Drosophila melanogaster: one gene and its partner. The protein of the gene in region 1 interacts with the protein of each later gene in a pairwise test. Each region holds a gene or a part of one and is shown in the gene's direction. Other genes may lie near its edges.

Region 1 (8,718 bases):
GACATAGAACGCCGGAGTTGTGTGCAGATAGGTGTGGCGAAATGCTATGGAAACTCCAGAAGAATAGGTCGGAAAGCCCCATTGCCACCCAGAAAACAACTCATCAAGTCTTAAGGGGAGTTGTCTACTAGATAAGAGCTCTATTTATTGACAAGTTACAAGATTGTGGCGACATGAGACCTTTAATTAAATATAACTTATTAAAGAAGACCTTGATTTTGATTGACTTGCCACCGGGCTGAGCTATAAAAAGCTTAGCCCACCACCACGAACTCCACAATGATCGAGAATGCAGCAATCTTTGCGCGTGGAACTGCTATTGATCGTTTACGGGTTGATTCTCGTTGTCTGGGGAATCAATGGATTAAACATACCCGAGTGCAGTGGCCAGAATGGATTTATTAACAATACGCGATCCAATTGCAATTACTCCCTCATCAATTGCTCTGGCCAGAACTCGATGTTCTGCACGGACAACACGACCTGCAATGCCAACTTCACCTGTAGCGACATACTTCCGGTGGATAATTCAACAGCACTACCCATAAGCACAACTCCCAATGTGGTAACCACAGCCTCGACAACTGTTTCACCTTCCGATATTCGACGAGAGTGTCGTCAGGGTGTTACCAAAAGATTTAGCTATCCGCAGAATTGTAACTACTTCTACTATTGCGTTGATGGCTTTCTGCTGGTGGAGCAATGTCCTATTGGCTACGCATTCGATCCCCAAACTGGAGCTTGTGGTGGACGTACGTAATCGCTCCAGCGATTGTACTTTAAAGTGAAAATAATCGCACCAAACTTTTAATTAAGCCTCTTGTCGTGTCAAATTAAACAATTATAGCTAGAAAATAAAAATGAATTTAGAGTCTTATCAGAGAACAAGCAAACCGCACAGCATTTCCACCTATAAAGAAGGCACTGATCTCGGCGATGAGGCAGTGCAGAAAGCCTATTGAATGTGGCAATTGTTGATAGTCTTGGCCTGCCTGTTACCTGGCTACCTCTGGGTGCAGGTGCAGGCGGTTTTTCTCGAGGAATGCAAAGGTGTGATCATCAATAAGGTGACCAATGAGAATCAGGAGTGCAGTGAGTTTGTTCACTGCGATGGCGATGATTCCTACTACTGCAATGGGGATTGTCGTGAGGCCGTGGAGTGTTATACCAATGTGGTTACCACACCGGTTACCACATTAAGACCCATAGGAACCTCTACGGAACGAGCACCATCCGCAGAGCCAGTCAATACTACATCTACGACTTTAGCTACTACCACGCCAACAACGATTGCTGTAACCACGACTACAAGCCAAGTTCCGAGCACCGATGTCTATGTCATCTGCAAGACGAGTGGAAGGAACGGGGTCTATCCCTATCCGGCAAATAGCAATTACTATTATCAGTGTATTTCCGGTTATCTGTTGCTCCAGCAGTGCCCACAGAATTTCCATTTCGATGTCGCCCAGGGACAGTGCGTTGCCACAAAACCCAATCGTTCATCGGGCTTACGTTTGTAAGATTCATATCCCAGTTTGTAATAAAGCAATTATCAAAGGCGTGTTCATGGGCAAATTATTTTCTGATAACGAAAGGTGGTAAGAAAACCCCAAAGTTTGCATACGCAATCGATCAGTTTACCATTCGAGATCGAGCTGAGAAGATGTTTGGAGTATTGAAGTTTGGATCCATCCTGGTGTCCCTCCTATTTCTGGCCACCAGTCATGCGGATGTTTTCGATGAGTGTAACGATGGTAACAACCTATCCTTTGTTACTTCGCCAAAGAGTTGCGCACATTATATCTTCTGCAACGGCGATGAGTCATACGATGGTGAATGCGAGGATGGCGAATACTTTAGTCAAGATATGGAAATGTGTGAGCCCATGGGCGATATCGACTGTCGCACGGGATCGGAGGTGCAAAGGGAAAACACTACCGACAGCTCCTCAACGGAGATTACCTCGGAGTCCAGTACGATTTCCACAGTTGTAATCACCACATTAGCCCCATCGGCAGTGGTCACATTACGACCATCAGTCAATCAAAGTGGAGCCAGCAGTACGACTTCCGTATCGCCTGCTATAGAGATTATTGTGACCAATGTGTGCCCACAACTGGATAATCAGAGTCGTATCGCATTGCTGCCAAATCAGAACTCCTGTTCAGATTATTACATTTGCTATCGCGGTGTGGCACTTCCCATGAGTTGTGCCACCAGTTTGCACTTTAATTCACTCACCGGAAAATGCGATCATCCCGAAAACGTTAGGTGTTTGGTGGGTTAACCTATGGTACTTCATATCTTATAATTTTTGTATAATAAATTATTTATTTACAGGCCATGACTTATAATCCCAGGGAGCAGTGCAAGCGACATGTAATCGATGTTTATCCGCATTCCGACAACTGCAATTACTTTTACCAGTGTCGCTCTGGCTATTTGATGGTCCAGCAGTGTCCTTTCTTCTACGGATGGGACTACGAGAAGCGATCCTGTGTAGCACTAGGTCAAGCCAAATGCTACAACAAGCTGCAAATGCAAATGAAAATTTATTAAATACACATAATAATATTTATTAAAAAAAAAAAACGAAATTTTACATTTAGTTAATTAACGAGCTTTGTGGAAAAATTGAAAATATTGAACATAAAGTGTTGTATGTTTACATATGGAATAAACCTAAATACTGGTAATCAATAAGACTTCTTTGTAAAACTATCAAGCAACACGGCCGACCTTGACTCTTTCCTAAATTTATCAGGTGATATCAAGCAATTCTTTCATATCTCTGCAAAATGAAGACCTTGAATCGAAACATTTGCCAAAATAGGCCAACCTTCGATTTGAAACATAGTAATTTGACCGATATGATACGATTTTCCTCACAAGGACAACATATGTCATCGTGATATCACCTAATCAATTTCCTAGCTAATCTCGGCTTCCTTTTCACCAGACTTTAAAATTAAAAATCCAGCATTAAAGTTGTATCTGCTTGCCATTTCGAGATACGATATCGATTGATTGCGAGGAAAGGGAGCCATATTTCTTTTTTGGCAAAACAAAATACAGGAGTCTTATCAACTTCTTCCTACAAGCAATTGAAAATGTTAATTTTCTGATACTGAGCCACATATGCGGCTGTATCTTGGCGCCGAATGTATCACATATATGCCAAGTTCACCGGGCATTACGAAATTAGAATATAACTGCGCTCTACTGGAGTCTGACGATAGAAAAAACGATGATGCTTAATACGGGTTAGTAAGATGGATATTCTCAAAACTAATAGTATGATGAGAATTTATTGGTTTCCAGCTTTCTATTTGATCGTGAACTGCTTGCTGGCCACAGCGCAATTAACCTGGAGACCATCGAAGCCCACAAACTCGGTGACCATCAGGCAGAGTGGTAGTAGAATATGTGCCAATCATTTGGTTGGTGAGTTTGTGGAGCATGCGGAGGACTGCCACATGTTTTACCTGTGCGTTGAGAACGGGGATGCAGTCCTGGCTTCCTGCCCACCAACGATGCTCTTCAATTCGGAGAGCAGACTCTGCGATTCGGCGACAAATGTAAAGTGCAGAAATGAAACGGATCCCATAGAGACTCCTCCATTCGATGGCGGAAATGGTGATGGAGATCCGAATAACATGGTCACGGATGCCGCCACTTATTGCTCCACGTTGGTGGAGCAACAACAATCCAGCGACAGGATTGTATATGTCGGCAGCTCGAGTAGTTGCAGAAAGTACTATATTTGCTACTATGGACAGGCGATCTTGCAGGAGTGCAGCTCGCAATTGCACTGGAATGCAATGACGGGTAAATGCGATATTCCGGAGAGAGCCCAGTGCACCGTAGGTGGTCAGGAGGATATGCCAACGAATGGAAATTCCGGTTTCCCATCCGGTGGCACCGCCATTTCGAGTGATCTCATTCACTGCCCCGCCTACGGACAGCATCTGTATCCCCATATGCAGCGATGCGAGTTCTTTATCTACTGCGTCAAAGGACACGCCAGCCTGCAGCAATGTCCTTTCTATTACTTCTTCGATATTGCCACCAAAAGTTGTCAATGGTCGCGCACGGCTCAGTGTGTGCGAGATTTAAATTTGGCACCACTAATAAAATAGAAGTTTTAATATATGTAGCATACAATTTTTTGAACTTTGGGAGATACCAAATGCTTTTAGAGAGGTTTCTTTTAAAAGTACTACTACTTTTAAAACTCCCGCCGATTACAGATGAAAACCAGAACTAATGTGTGTACACACTAACTTTCGACAACAATGTTCGATGAATCGGTTTCGATAAAGTTGACTATATGGCCACTGTTCTTTTTTGCGGTAGTCAGACACGGTCATACAAATCCCACAATATAATGTTAAATTAATCATATTTATACTTATCTTCATTTAAGTAAAGCGAAATATTCGATTGACCCTCGAAGTAAACAACCCAGGTGCTCAAAAATGAAGCTAACAAAGTTAGATTAATCGGTGTCTACGAATTATCTGGAAACACAAGCATTTCCCGTCATCTAACTCAAACTGCCCAACTCGAAAAATCAACAATATTTTTGCATCGGGCCAAAGGTGCATTAAAACCGGAGCCTCAAGTCTCGGGCGGCAGGTAATTTATTCAAGTTCAAAACAGCCACCCGGGGATTCTCCTAGACATCGGTTGCCACAAGAAAAGAAGAAGAATTAGGCGTAATCTTCTAGAAAATTGGTGATTTCAGCCGAGAATGTTTGAGAATTTTCGAGGTATTTTTCGGAAACGGCGTCGCTGCGAGTCGGACACAACACCGCCGCCACCGCCGCCGCAACCCGCCCAGGAGGCGGAGATAATAAACCGATATCCGGAAGATATAGAAGCCGATACGCCCGAGTCCAATGATGGCTTTGACGCCTCCTGGACCGAAGGCTCTTTTCACAGCCCACATTCAGATAGGTAATTGAATTCTGCGCATTCACGCTTCCTCTTCTCTCTTATTGCAGCTTCAAAGCAAAAACAGATAAAATTAAGCTTAAGCAACAGCATCAAACACTTCGACACCCACTCGAAAAAAAAAGCTTAAGACATTCCAAAAAAAGTAGCCAGCAAAGCGGCTAAAAAAAAATAAATAAGATAAAACCAAAACCCAAAACGAAACAGTAGGCAGCTATCCAACCATCTTGGGTGACAAACACTTGACCGGCTTTTTGGAGGGCGACAGGTTTAAATCAAATCTGGAGCAGCCGCAGGATATGGAAGTTGATGCGCCAACAACGCAGGAAACCAGTGACACTCATCATCATCACCATAGTACTTATCACCAGCAGCTGCATCAGATCTCGCCCAGCGATTACCACTCGGAGGCATCCATGAATTTTGATCATTTGCAAGACCTGAGGGCCGATGCCATGGCCTCCTCATCCCCATCCGGATCCGGAGGTGGTGGCAATGGCGGGAACAGCTCCTACGGACTCGTCGACGATAGTAGAGCTCTGGACAGGTTGTTATTCCATCATAACTAAAACCAAATCAGACACGAAACCAAAACAATACCACCGATTATATTCACACAACCTCGTAGCGAAACAAAAGTTATACGTTTCTTATCTATTATTTCTTCACACTACCAGCTACCAGCTTCATTCGAATCTTTTGTTCCATAATAGTAATGGTGATAGCTTAAAGTATCTGCCGCGAACGCCCACACAACTCTCAAAAGAGCTTTGTGTGCGAGCGCCTTTTCTTGTAGACATATTCTGGTTATAATTTCGTAGCTCTATAAGTGGTCAGTCGATCTGTAGCAGAGCGATCTAACAATCTAACGTTGCTTGTCTCGTTTCATGACTTAACCACTGAACCGCAATCACACTTAACCGACATGTGACAGACCATTTAACGCCAGCGAGAGGTAAATCTTGAATTTATAATAACCACTGAGCGTGACTAACCTTTGAGTGACTCGCAGATTTGTCACCATACTGGATAGTTTGGATGCACGTGTGGAGAAGCTGCGCAAGGATGCACTCAACCTGCAGGAGAAGAAAGACTACCTTCTGATGTCCATGGATCTGATCAAGAGCAACGAAATGATGCAGAACATGAGCGAAGGTAAGTGACAGTGATTCTTAAAACTAATTTGAACCCTCATTGTTCATAGCTTTACTAAAATGTGTATTATTTCGAAGTCGGAAGTAATGGTTTCTGATGACAAACTAAGTAAAGGGTTATTCATAGTTGACTGTGAGCTAATGTTGTACCACCTTCTTTTGCAGCTGAACGAGAGGAGATCATTTTGTACCTACAACGGGTGAGCTCTCGCTTGGCCACCGTGGAGCTGCGTGTGCGCACTGTTCGGGACAACTCTCAGGAGGATTCCCTTAGCCAGATAAATGTATTGATTGACAGCATGATCAAGATGGGTGATCCCGTGATCGGACGCCAACGATGCCAGTTTTACTTAAACGCCTGCTGCAGCAGCTCAATGGATCCATCCGGACACATGGACACCGTGCCCGAGGCCGATGTTGGGCCGGTCGACAAGAAGTTCGAGAGCGTTTTGCTTGGCTGCACTCTGGACGATCAGAAGAACATCAAGAAGCGGCTCCAGGCCTTAATGGCTTATCTGAATAAGCAAACTGTTAGCCATTAATTAAATTGTTTTTTGGTCTATTAACTATTCATAGCATTATTATCAAACCAAACGAAATACATCACCAAGCTAGATGAAACGAATAATAAAGAAAGCAGCATATACACCAGGCCAGCAGTGTTTGAATCAAGTAAAATATAATTTTAATATTTATATTAACAAACTAAATGTTATAAGCTAGGAAAGCACATGTCCTTCGCATTCAAGACCCGATCACTTAGGACCCATAATGCATCATTGGAGGTGAAGAAAATCTGCTGAATGTTCTTCGATGTGATATATATGATTTCGTTGCCCTCGGCTGTGATGTTGGCTAGTTTGGCACATCGTACGACAGCTCCGAATTTGGGGATAACATAGTACAATGTTCCGAAATTGTCGATGATCATGCTGCGACTGCTGCCCAGAAGACTGCCCAAATGTGTGAGTTTAATGCTATTGTTAATTGGTTTGCTTGCTAATTCGCTTTTGCCTTCAATTTCCAGTCTGTCCACCGTACTGTATAGATCACCATCCTGGTCGGAGAGTATGAGTTCCCCTTGAATTCCGAAGATGAAATCCACTGGCTTGATGGGAAACGATTGATTCATATTCTCGTACTTATTGCTCTCCAAGGATAGGCGGTGCCACGTCTGCTCCAGGATGTCGTAGGCTAGAATTTCTGGTACCTTTCCAAGGATGAAGTAAATATGGCGCTCGTGCTCGCATCCCGGACTCTTGGGTCCCATTTGGACAGTCAGAAAGTGGGTGTCATTAGCACCTATATGGTGTCCACAATCGATTCTCAATAGCTCCGCGTTGTTACGCATCAGATCGAAGACAAACAAACGGGGTGAGCACGTGCTGCCGGGAAATCCGATGTCCATGACCCACAGTCGACTCAGTGCATCCACCTGGGACCAGTGTGCCTGTTGTACCAGAGAGCAATCATCATGATCCCCCATGGAATGAACATCGATGTGGGGAAAGACGACAGTGGGCATGGGAAAATAGGAAACCGGCCATTGCGCCTCGATCAAAGTGGGCGCATCGTTGCTTTCTACATTTACGCTGAGAAACACTCGCGAAAAGTGCATCGATAGATGACGGACTTTGTAGCTGGATTCGTTTAAACCAGATTCGGATAACAGCCAGGCGTCCGTGGCCAGAATTAGACCAACAATGAGAAATCCCAAGCCGAGGACACCATGTGTGACCATCTTTAAACGCGAATTCAGACTGAGCTTAGGGCTAGAGAACTCTGCTTACGTTGTAAGTGCCCGTTCAAGAAGTCCACCAAAGTGTCTACATCAGCAGTTGGGATCGGGTGTCGCCGAATATATCGGCGACCTGCATTAATGGGGACCAGCATTGGAGTGTTTCTCTATTCACTTGTGGTCCCAAAAAAAAAAAGCTTACCAATTTCAATCGGAGAATATCGAAATCATGACACAGTTTCCTCTTAAAATTACCCAAAATTGGATTGTTATATTTTTCAAAATAAATCAAAGTTAAAACCAACAAAATGGTTGTTTTGTACCACCATAATAACCTATAATAAATAAATCATAATAAGGCTATTTTTGTCGAACTTTAGCGATATTGATAAGGTTCCTGTGAACTGAACCTACCTTAAGTGCTTAGTTTTAACATAACCTTAATGTTAACGAGTATTTCTTCGCGTAAAAGTACAAAAAAACCCTATCATATCTTTACAGCCATTATAAAGATTGCTTATAGATGACTGATTTCACTTGGGAATTGCCAAAAAGCTAAAGTGAACCCCCGAGGAATCAATTAATGTTGTTTAGCTTTCAGTTTTTAGTACATTCGTATTTTTTTAAGTATTAAAATTATTTAATCACACGAATAAACATTAAGAAATATTTTATTCTGGAAACTTTCTTCGTTATAGAGCATTTATCGTTGTAAAAAAAATAATTTCATTAGTTTACATTACATTTTCGTTTATATGTTTAGATTTTTTCTAATTAAATGATATTGTATAATTTATTGCAAAAATTATAATACTCACTTCAAATAATCTGAAACAAATCCACCCACTCCGAAAAATGTGGTAAGCTTTA
Region 2 (7,630 bases), on another chromosome or scaffold:
CAGGATAGTGTTCCAAATAGACCGTACTCGGAAATGGAAGTGGTCCTTTGAGTGCGTTGTACTCAAAGTAAAATCATACCACCGCAATTGCTTAGCTAACTTTTCTCATTCTTCGTGGACTGTTTGCCTTTGATTCTAATTTATGATCCGTGCAATTTGCGAACTTCATTCAGGCTCCTGCCCACGGCACCTCTTTACTCAAGAGTTATTATGTTTGTTGGCTGCGTTCCGGTATAAATTATGAAAGCGATGGAGTAGTGTTTGACTTAGGAGCGCCGCAAGAGCACTCACTTTGCACTTTCCATCTTGGAGGGCAGCGATTTGGGTTTTTCTGCTCCACTAAATCCATCTTGGATTCAGTTTTATTTAGTTGGAATCCGCTCCTGCTTGCTGCTTGCTTTTATGTGTTGTTAACACGTGTTCGAATCATAAAGCTTAACTCGCTTTGAATATCCTTTATGGCAGCGCGCCATTGTTATGCAATGTCCTGATAAATGGCTTTTCAGAGCCAACTCTGTGGCCGTTATCCTGCATTCTACGGCACCGAGAACGCATGTAAGCCCGGCTCTGTGAGCGTGCCAAGCCCTTTGTGAGTGTCTCAGGAACACTCGTGGTGGCCCCTCCCGCCGGCTGGAGTCTTTCCAGAAAACTGCAGGAGCCAGAGGCAGTTCTGTCCTGTCCGTACTCTCACGTTTCCAATCCACAGATGTCCACATTCAAATGGGTTTGCAGTTACAGTTTGTTCGTTGCTCGTCGTTTTATAAATTTAATTAAGAATTACTCGCAAATCCCTTCAGAAATAAATATGGCACAGGCTTACATACGGGTAAAATGTGCTCACATTTCGGCTTCTGTCCAACTTTAGCGGCATTTAATTATGGCTGTCTTCTATATTTGGAATTTATTTTGCGACTTCTTTCGACACATTAACCTAATTGGCCTTTCCCACTCAGCTGCTTGCTTTCCTGGCTAATAAATTGTTTTGAGATTACACGGATACTTAAAAGCGTATCTCAGCATTTTCATCTTCGGCACAACAACTTTTCGAATTTACCATTTGGCTCTCGCAAAAGGTAAGCAACTGTGAGTCGAGTGGGAGTGGGAATGGGAATGGTAGTCTAAACCTAATCCTTTGAAATGGTTTTTTAATGTGTGGGCCCTGGCGATGGTTCAGTGCCTCTACCTTGTCTCCGAATGGGATTAAATGTTTTTCGGGCGGGAAGCGAACTTTTGGGTTCGGGCCGTCGTCGGGCTATTAACACCTTGGCTTATTGTTAATTAGGCCCGCTTGCTAACTGATATAATCCCCGCAGGCTCGTCCTGTGGGCCAAACTTGATTTGTCATCTCGGTTAATTACTGGTTTCGAGAGCGACTGCTAAGACATTAATAGCATTAATTAACTGATGGCTCCGGGCACAGCCCATTCAGACACTCAACGACTGTCGAAAGGGGATCCAGCCTGGGGGGCCTGGAATCGATGGCATTTGAGCCAAGGCAATGGTTAATTGGAGCTGATTTAATGGTCTGGATGGAAGCTGGTGTCAGTCTTAAAGTCTCGGCTTGTTGTGCGGAGTATTAAATGCCTTCTGCGGATGGTATTTTAATATCCGTTCGCTTCACCCTCGCCAAGTCCCAGCTTAAATACCTGCACATTCCGTTTACAAGATTTCTGCTGTCTTACCAAAATCCCCCACCACTTTTCGGCGGTAAGCAGATATGACAATCACAAAGTGCTCCAAACCATGAGCTGAGCGAAAACAGAATGTCATAAAAATATACACTTGTGCCACTTGGGCCATACTCGCATACTCGTACGCACAAAGGAACACACTATGTGTGTAATCCAGGAGCCGGGCAGCAATAAGACAGGTCCTCCTAGGTTCCATAAGCCAGATTCCCGATGCTGGGATAATGGAGGCGAAAGACGCGTCGGAGCAGACAAAATAAAATCACATTTTCGGAGCCAGAGCATTTATGATCCATTATGCTCTCAACTAGGGGCTCCGGCTTTGTTTTCGCCCATAAGAAAATGACTGGGAATGAATGGGGGCTTGGGGCATTGGCCACAAGGTCAGAGCGTGGCAGAGTGATGTATACATTCAAGAGCACTTTATCGCCTGGTGGCTATTATTTGACTATAATTTTAGTTATATCTGAGGAGCTCATGAGCACAGGTGCTGCGACATCATGACAACAGAGAGAGCTTCTTTCAAAATCGAAATATGCAAATAGGTTTTAAAGAACTTATGGCCGGAACGAGGGCTTTAACATATTTACCCCGGACTGGTTGGAGAATTTCATATATAACCAGACCCAGACCGACATTCCGGTGCAAATATGCACCATGTTGTCACAGGGCATTGTGGGTAAAATAAGTTAAATAAAATAAAATCGAGTATGCATGTGCATGTGTGCTTGATCAAATTGCAGTCACTTGTCGGCGTGGGTGTGTGGGTGTGTTTATTGTTGACACATTTTGAGACGTACCCTGCAATATGGATATCAAGTGCGAATGCCATGGCTCGGCACTAGAGAAAGTACAAAACACGTCGTGGAGGTGAAAGTTGGACCAACTGCGATGATAATACGCCATCTGATGCACCAGGGGGGCGTGGCACTCGAGAATAAAAACGCTTAAGTGGTTCAATGTCTATGGAGGCACCCATCAACCATCCAGACCGCCCAACCACCCACTTTGACGTTGATTGTTGAGCGATAAGAGCGTTGGCTTAATGACACTTGGCCCGGCACTCTTAGCCCGGTCGGGATGTCCTTCAGCTGACGTCCTCGTTGGCGGCTGAGTGGGGGCCATTAATGCATCGGATTAACCCAACCATATGCAGATATGAGTATATCCCCCGTCGAAGCTCGTCTATCCTTCAATCGTGCTGTGCCGCAGACAATCGCATTAATCATTTAATTGTGACCGCAAAAGCCCTACCATATTAACAATCAATTAATTCTATGCGAATAGATTTTTTAATGTGCATTGTTTTTATCTGCACTCGAATATGGGCACCATATGTTATTGATATTGTTTAATCCGATTTAAAAAGGGACTGAATCGACCAGCGCCCTGCCTTTGATTTAATACACGGCCTCGGATGAGTAAAAAATACACAAATATTATAAATTAAAAGGCCGTGCAAATCAGTGGTTTCTATTGTTATTACTTTGCATTGCTGCTCCATTTATCCACACTTTGTCGCACAGTCATTCAAGTGCCACGGCCACTAATTGTCCATCCTGCCAACGGTTGAACGGACTTAAAAACACCGATTGCATTGACAAAAAGTGTCAAAACCATTTCATGGCCCATTTAACCAGCGATTACAACAAGCCAAAAGCGCGGAAAATAAAGCCAAATCCGGATGCAGCAAATGAGCAACAAATAATGAAGCTCTTAAATATGTGGACATGGGGACACAATAGTATTCAATAGTATTCAGTTAAAGTAGCTAACTGGCCAAAAAACAATGGGAATTAGAAGTGCAGTGAAGTTACAATGGCTGATGTGAAGTTCGCTTTTAATGACGTGCATATTTGCTGATTTTAATTTAATCACTAATTACACGAATGCAAGTTTGCATTTATGAGGCCACCGCAGTGTTAATTCCGTTCAAAATAGTTGAAAATAATTAAATTGAGCTTCATAGTTTAGTACTTTACATATGTACGCATACGTATGTGCGCCTCATTATACATCGAATTAATAATTGATGCCGAAATGTGCAATTTCACGTTGTTTTCCACATCAAAGCATATTCAGACGCGCCGCGGCACGCACTTTATGTTCCAGTTAGTTATAGTTTATAAAAACGCATATGGCAGATAATTAAGTGGGCTCACGCTCTAATCCAGATGGCTTCTCGCAGTTATAGTTTTCAATCCAGGTGACCTATGCCAGTTAGTTCGACCCATCCCCTCCAAATCCAATCAGTCAAACATTTCTTACCACACACGTACAACCCGAACCCCGCTTAGTCATTTCAAATTCAAGTATATAGACTACATTGATTTTGGAAGAGTTAGCCACAATGTTCATCCGCGGAGATGCGCCACAAGCTTCCCGGGGCAAAATTCCCCAGATCCCCAGCTCCATGACGCCCTATGTGGCGGCAGTGAAGCGCGGACCCTACACAATGACCAATCCGGTGTACAACACCCACAATCCCAACCTGGTGGGCTTGGATGGCCAGGTGGAGGATTCCCGGCCCAAGCACACCTTTAATGTGAAGAGGCAAGAGCTGGAGAATAACTACCGGCACCACCAGCGGCTGATCCCCGTGCCCACTTCCCGGAGGACGATGCCCAAGATCCGATCCCACATAGTGATGAACGAGCAGCGGGAGCTGTATCGCCAGCACCGCGATCGAATGTCCAACATCAAGGGCAAGGTCAACACCTATCTGCCGCCCCCGAAGGTGCAGATCGAGGGAAATGGCATGGAGCTCTCCTACATGGAGATGCTGACCGCACTCTACAAGAAGAGCAACAACACGCTGCGGACCTTCACCAAGTCGCCGGAGCGCCTGGCAGCCGGCAGGTGGCGCAATGCCAACTTGGCCCGGGAGAAGGAGCGCCGCCAACTGGAGAAGAACAAGGAGTTCCACAAGGGAGGCGAGCTGTTTGACCCAGAGGCGGGCAAGTCAAAGCGGTACAAGCCCAAGTCCTCGGGCTCCTTCAGCTGCGAGATTCCCATGCACGTGCTCCATCGCTACGAGAACTTGATGGACCAATGCGACGTGGGCGTTCTGTGCAAGCTGCTGCGTCCGCAGATCTACCTGGACATCGAGGTGCGGGAAGCCCGCATCCAGGGCAGGCTGATCATCCAGCTCTTCACCGAGGCCTGTCCGCAGGTGGTGCTGGAGTTCATGAGGATCTGCACCCAGAACAACAGTAGCGCCATCGTATTCAACCGCGCCCTGGCGCCCATTTGGATGGAGGGACGACTGGCCATGGATCCGCAGAGAAGCACCGAGCTGACCAACATCGAGCACGACTTCGAGGTGCTGAACCACGGAGTGGACGCCGGAATCCTCTCCTTTCCCAGTCGCTATGTCAGGGGAAACGCCCGGACTGCCGTCAACTTCACCATCAGCTTTAAGCCCCTGTCCATTCTCAACGGCAGGAGAATCGCCTTCGGGAAGGTTCGCAAGGGCATGCAGCTCCTGGAGAGGATTCAGGTGGCCGTCGGACACCTGCCCATGAGCCACAACTTGATCTCGCTGACGGACTGTGGAGTGATCTGAGAGGTGTAAAATTTCCAGTAGATAGTTGGGATCTACTCATAACTTTTCGAAGAAAATTAATTAGGATCAATTGCTAGGCGGAAATCTATATTCTTATTCTTAAGCCATGTCACCCCACTTAAAGCTGCTGTAAACCACAAGTAAATGATTAATGTGCATAGATACATAGATACGAGATACACTTGTGCATTCATTCCAAGTATCTTGAATATGGGTTTGATGGATCACAATCCCTTTGGATATGCTGTTTCCTCCTTCATATATATATACTTCGATATTTCAGTTTTCCGTTTGAATCAGGCGAAGCAAGTCACAAAGCATTATACACTTTTTCTAGAATTCAGTAAGTTTGCTCACTTCAACTTCTTTACGGAATCGATTCATTCTGTACTAGGTAATCCTCGACATGTATATGGTTTGTGACGGATTGAACAGCCCCAGGCTGCAGGGAGGAAAGGAAGCGGAAGCGGATGGGAGTCAGTGGCCGTTTCCGGACAAGTACCACATGAGGAACACCCGGATCCTTCAGGTGTCAAAGGCTCAAATCAGCGAGGTGCCCATGGAGGTATTCGAGGCAGCTCAGCAGGAGCTAGTGAATATCGTGAGCTTGGATGGCAACAGGTTGCTCGAGATGCCCAAAGATCTGCCCTTGCTCTCCGAGCACCTCACCCAGTTGGTCCTGAACAAAAACCAGATCTCCTTCGTTCCCACCAACATCTCGCAGTACTCGAAGTTGACTAACCTGAGCCTCTCCAACAATCTTCTGTGCGACTTGCCCATGGAGTTGGGCGGACTGCGGCTGCTCCGCAATCTGGACATCTCCCACAATCGCTTCCGCCAGTTGCCACGCTGCATCTACGAGCTAGAGAGACTGGAAACCTTGTCGGCCCACGACAACCAGATCCGTGCCATCGATGCTAGTGAATCGGGCCTGGGCGGAATGCGGGAACTGAAGAGATTGAACTTGGGAAACAATGACATCCAAATAGTGCCGCCGATCTTGGGCAAAATGCAGAATCTCGTGGAATTGGAGCTGTGGGGAAATCCCTTCCGCCAGCCCCGCCACCAGATTCTATCGATGGGGACTCCGGCGCTGCTCAGCTACTTGCGCACCCGCATTCCTATATAAATCATATATTATTTATTATTAATTCAAATCAAATTTCAAAGTATTGCCAAATAAATTGACAGCAGTGCAGTTTAGCCCCTAATTCCGTAGTTTTGCTTAAATCGTGCTCATGGAAGATTCCTCACCAAAGATTCCTCCTTGGGTAAGTTTCTGGCAGCCTGAGTTTGCTGAACTCGTAATGATAGTAAGCTCTGATTCCTGCGTCATCAAATCAAATAGGTCAAAACCTAGTTGGCTGGGAAGAGGACACTACTATACTCACTACTAGTTACATTTGCGAAGCCCGAAAATGTCCAGAAGTTCGAGGTTATCAGTAACTGAAACTCAGCGCAAAAGCACTCCAGTGGTAAAGAAGGCGGTTATGTAAGTTGGAACACGAAATCGTCAACAGCAACAGACCCCTTGACCTGCTCCGCATTTGTCCATCTCCCTAGTCGCAGTCGATCCTACGATGGGGATGCGTTCGTCAATCTCTTCGCCCATCGCGGCGCCCGAGACATCATGATCTTGGATAGCCATGGAGTGCCCCTCCGATCCACCTGCAGTCAGAGACGCACCTTCGTGTTCGTCTCTAACCTGAAGCCGCTGCTCTTCATGGCCCGCAACGTGGTCAGGGATCTGGACCCCTCGAACGACATAACCTTCATGCGGATTCGCTCCAATATGGGCGAAATCCACATGACCCTGGGCACGGACTTCATTTTGATCGTTGTGCAGAAGCTGAGGAGGCTCAGGAGCAGCTCAACATCATAAAACATTTCCGGTCGCTGTGCGTGTGTGTGTGCGGATGTTAATTGTACTGTATCCATATTCCACCCAAATTAAATTGCATGCAATTGCGGCAAATGAGCAAAGGTCACAGTGGATTGGGCGGAAAATTGTAAAATTTAGGAAAAGCCCAGCGAGACCAGAGCAAACTAATCCGTTTATGCAGCGCTTGCAATCCGGAAAACGCATCAAAGCGGCAATTAGTGCAGCCTCGGATGCGTCAGTTGTATCGTGGTTTGGAATCCAACGACCTCTCAATTGGGTCCGCCACATTCATTAATCTTCGCTGGTCTTTGGTAGTTGGCCTTTGGCTTTCTGAAAGCCACGATGCAGCTTCATTAAAACCCAATCACGCTGGCTGTCAGTAAGCCAAAGACCCCACTGCGCATCGCTCGATGGCCACAGATTACCGGAAAAATTAATGGATAATGGCAATTACACTTGGGCGGGCTCACAACGTGACTTTCGGGAAATCGTTAC

The links.
Region 2: the proteins of CG7945 (region 1) and CG3492 interact in a two-hybrid assay, tested with the Drosophila melanogaster proteins (one large-scale study listed by BioGRID).

The regions. Positions count from the first base shown.
Region 1 is NT_037436.4:15,519,753-15,528,470, reverse strand, and holds CG7945 (uncharacterized protein), read left to right. Parts: upstream 1-4,333; 5' UTR 4,334-4,638; exon of another isoform or gene 4,639-4,753; coding exon of another isoform or gene 4,754-4,959; intron 4,960-5,006; 5' UTR 5,007-5,255; coding exon 5,256-5,503; intron 5,504-5,890; coding exon 5,891-5,911; intron 5,912-5,968; coding exon 5,969-6,111; intron 6,112-6,275; coding exon 6,276-6,652; 3' UTR 6,653-6,760; downstream 6,761-8,718. Other genes in the region: obst-H (obstructor-H), read left to right, coding at 1-114; CG42728 (uncharacterized protein), read left to right, coding at 290-760; CG42729 (uncharacterized protein), read left to right, coding at 963-1,520; CG33985 (uncharacterized protein), read left to right, coding at 1,664-2,278, 2,341-2,559; CG33986 (uncharacterized protein), read left to right, coding at 3,248-3,263, 3,322-4,139; yellow-k, read right to left, coding at 6,823-7,851.
Region 2 is NT_033778.4:24,468,800-24,476,429, forward strand, and holds CG3492 (uncharacterized protein), read left to right. Parts: upstream 1-3,912; 5' UTR 3,913-4,038; coding exon 4,039-5,253; 3' UTR 5,254-5,427; downstream 5,428-7,630. Other genes in the region: CG3494 (uncharacterized protein), read left to right, coding at 5,660-6,382; CG16837 (uncharacterized protein), read left to right, coding at 6,672-6,745, 6,817-7,135.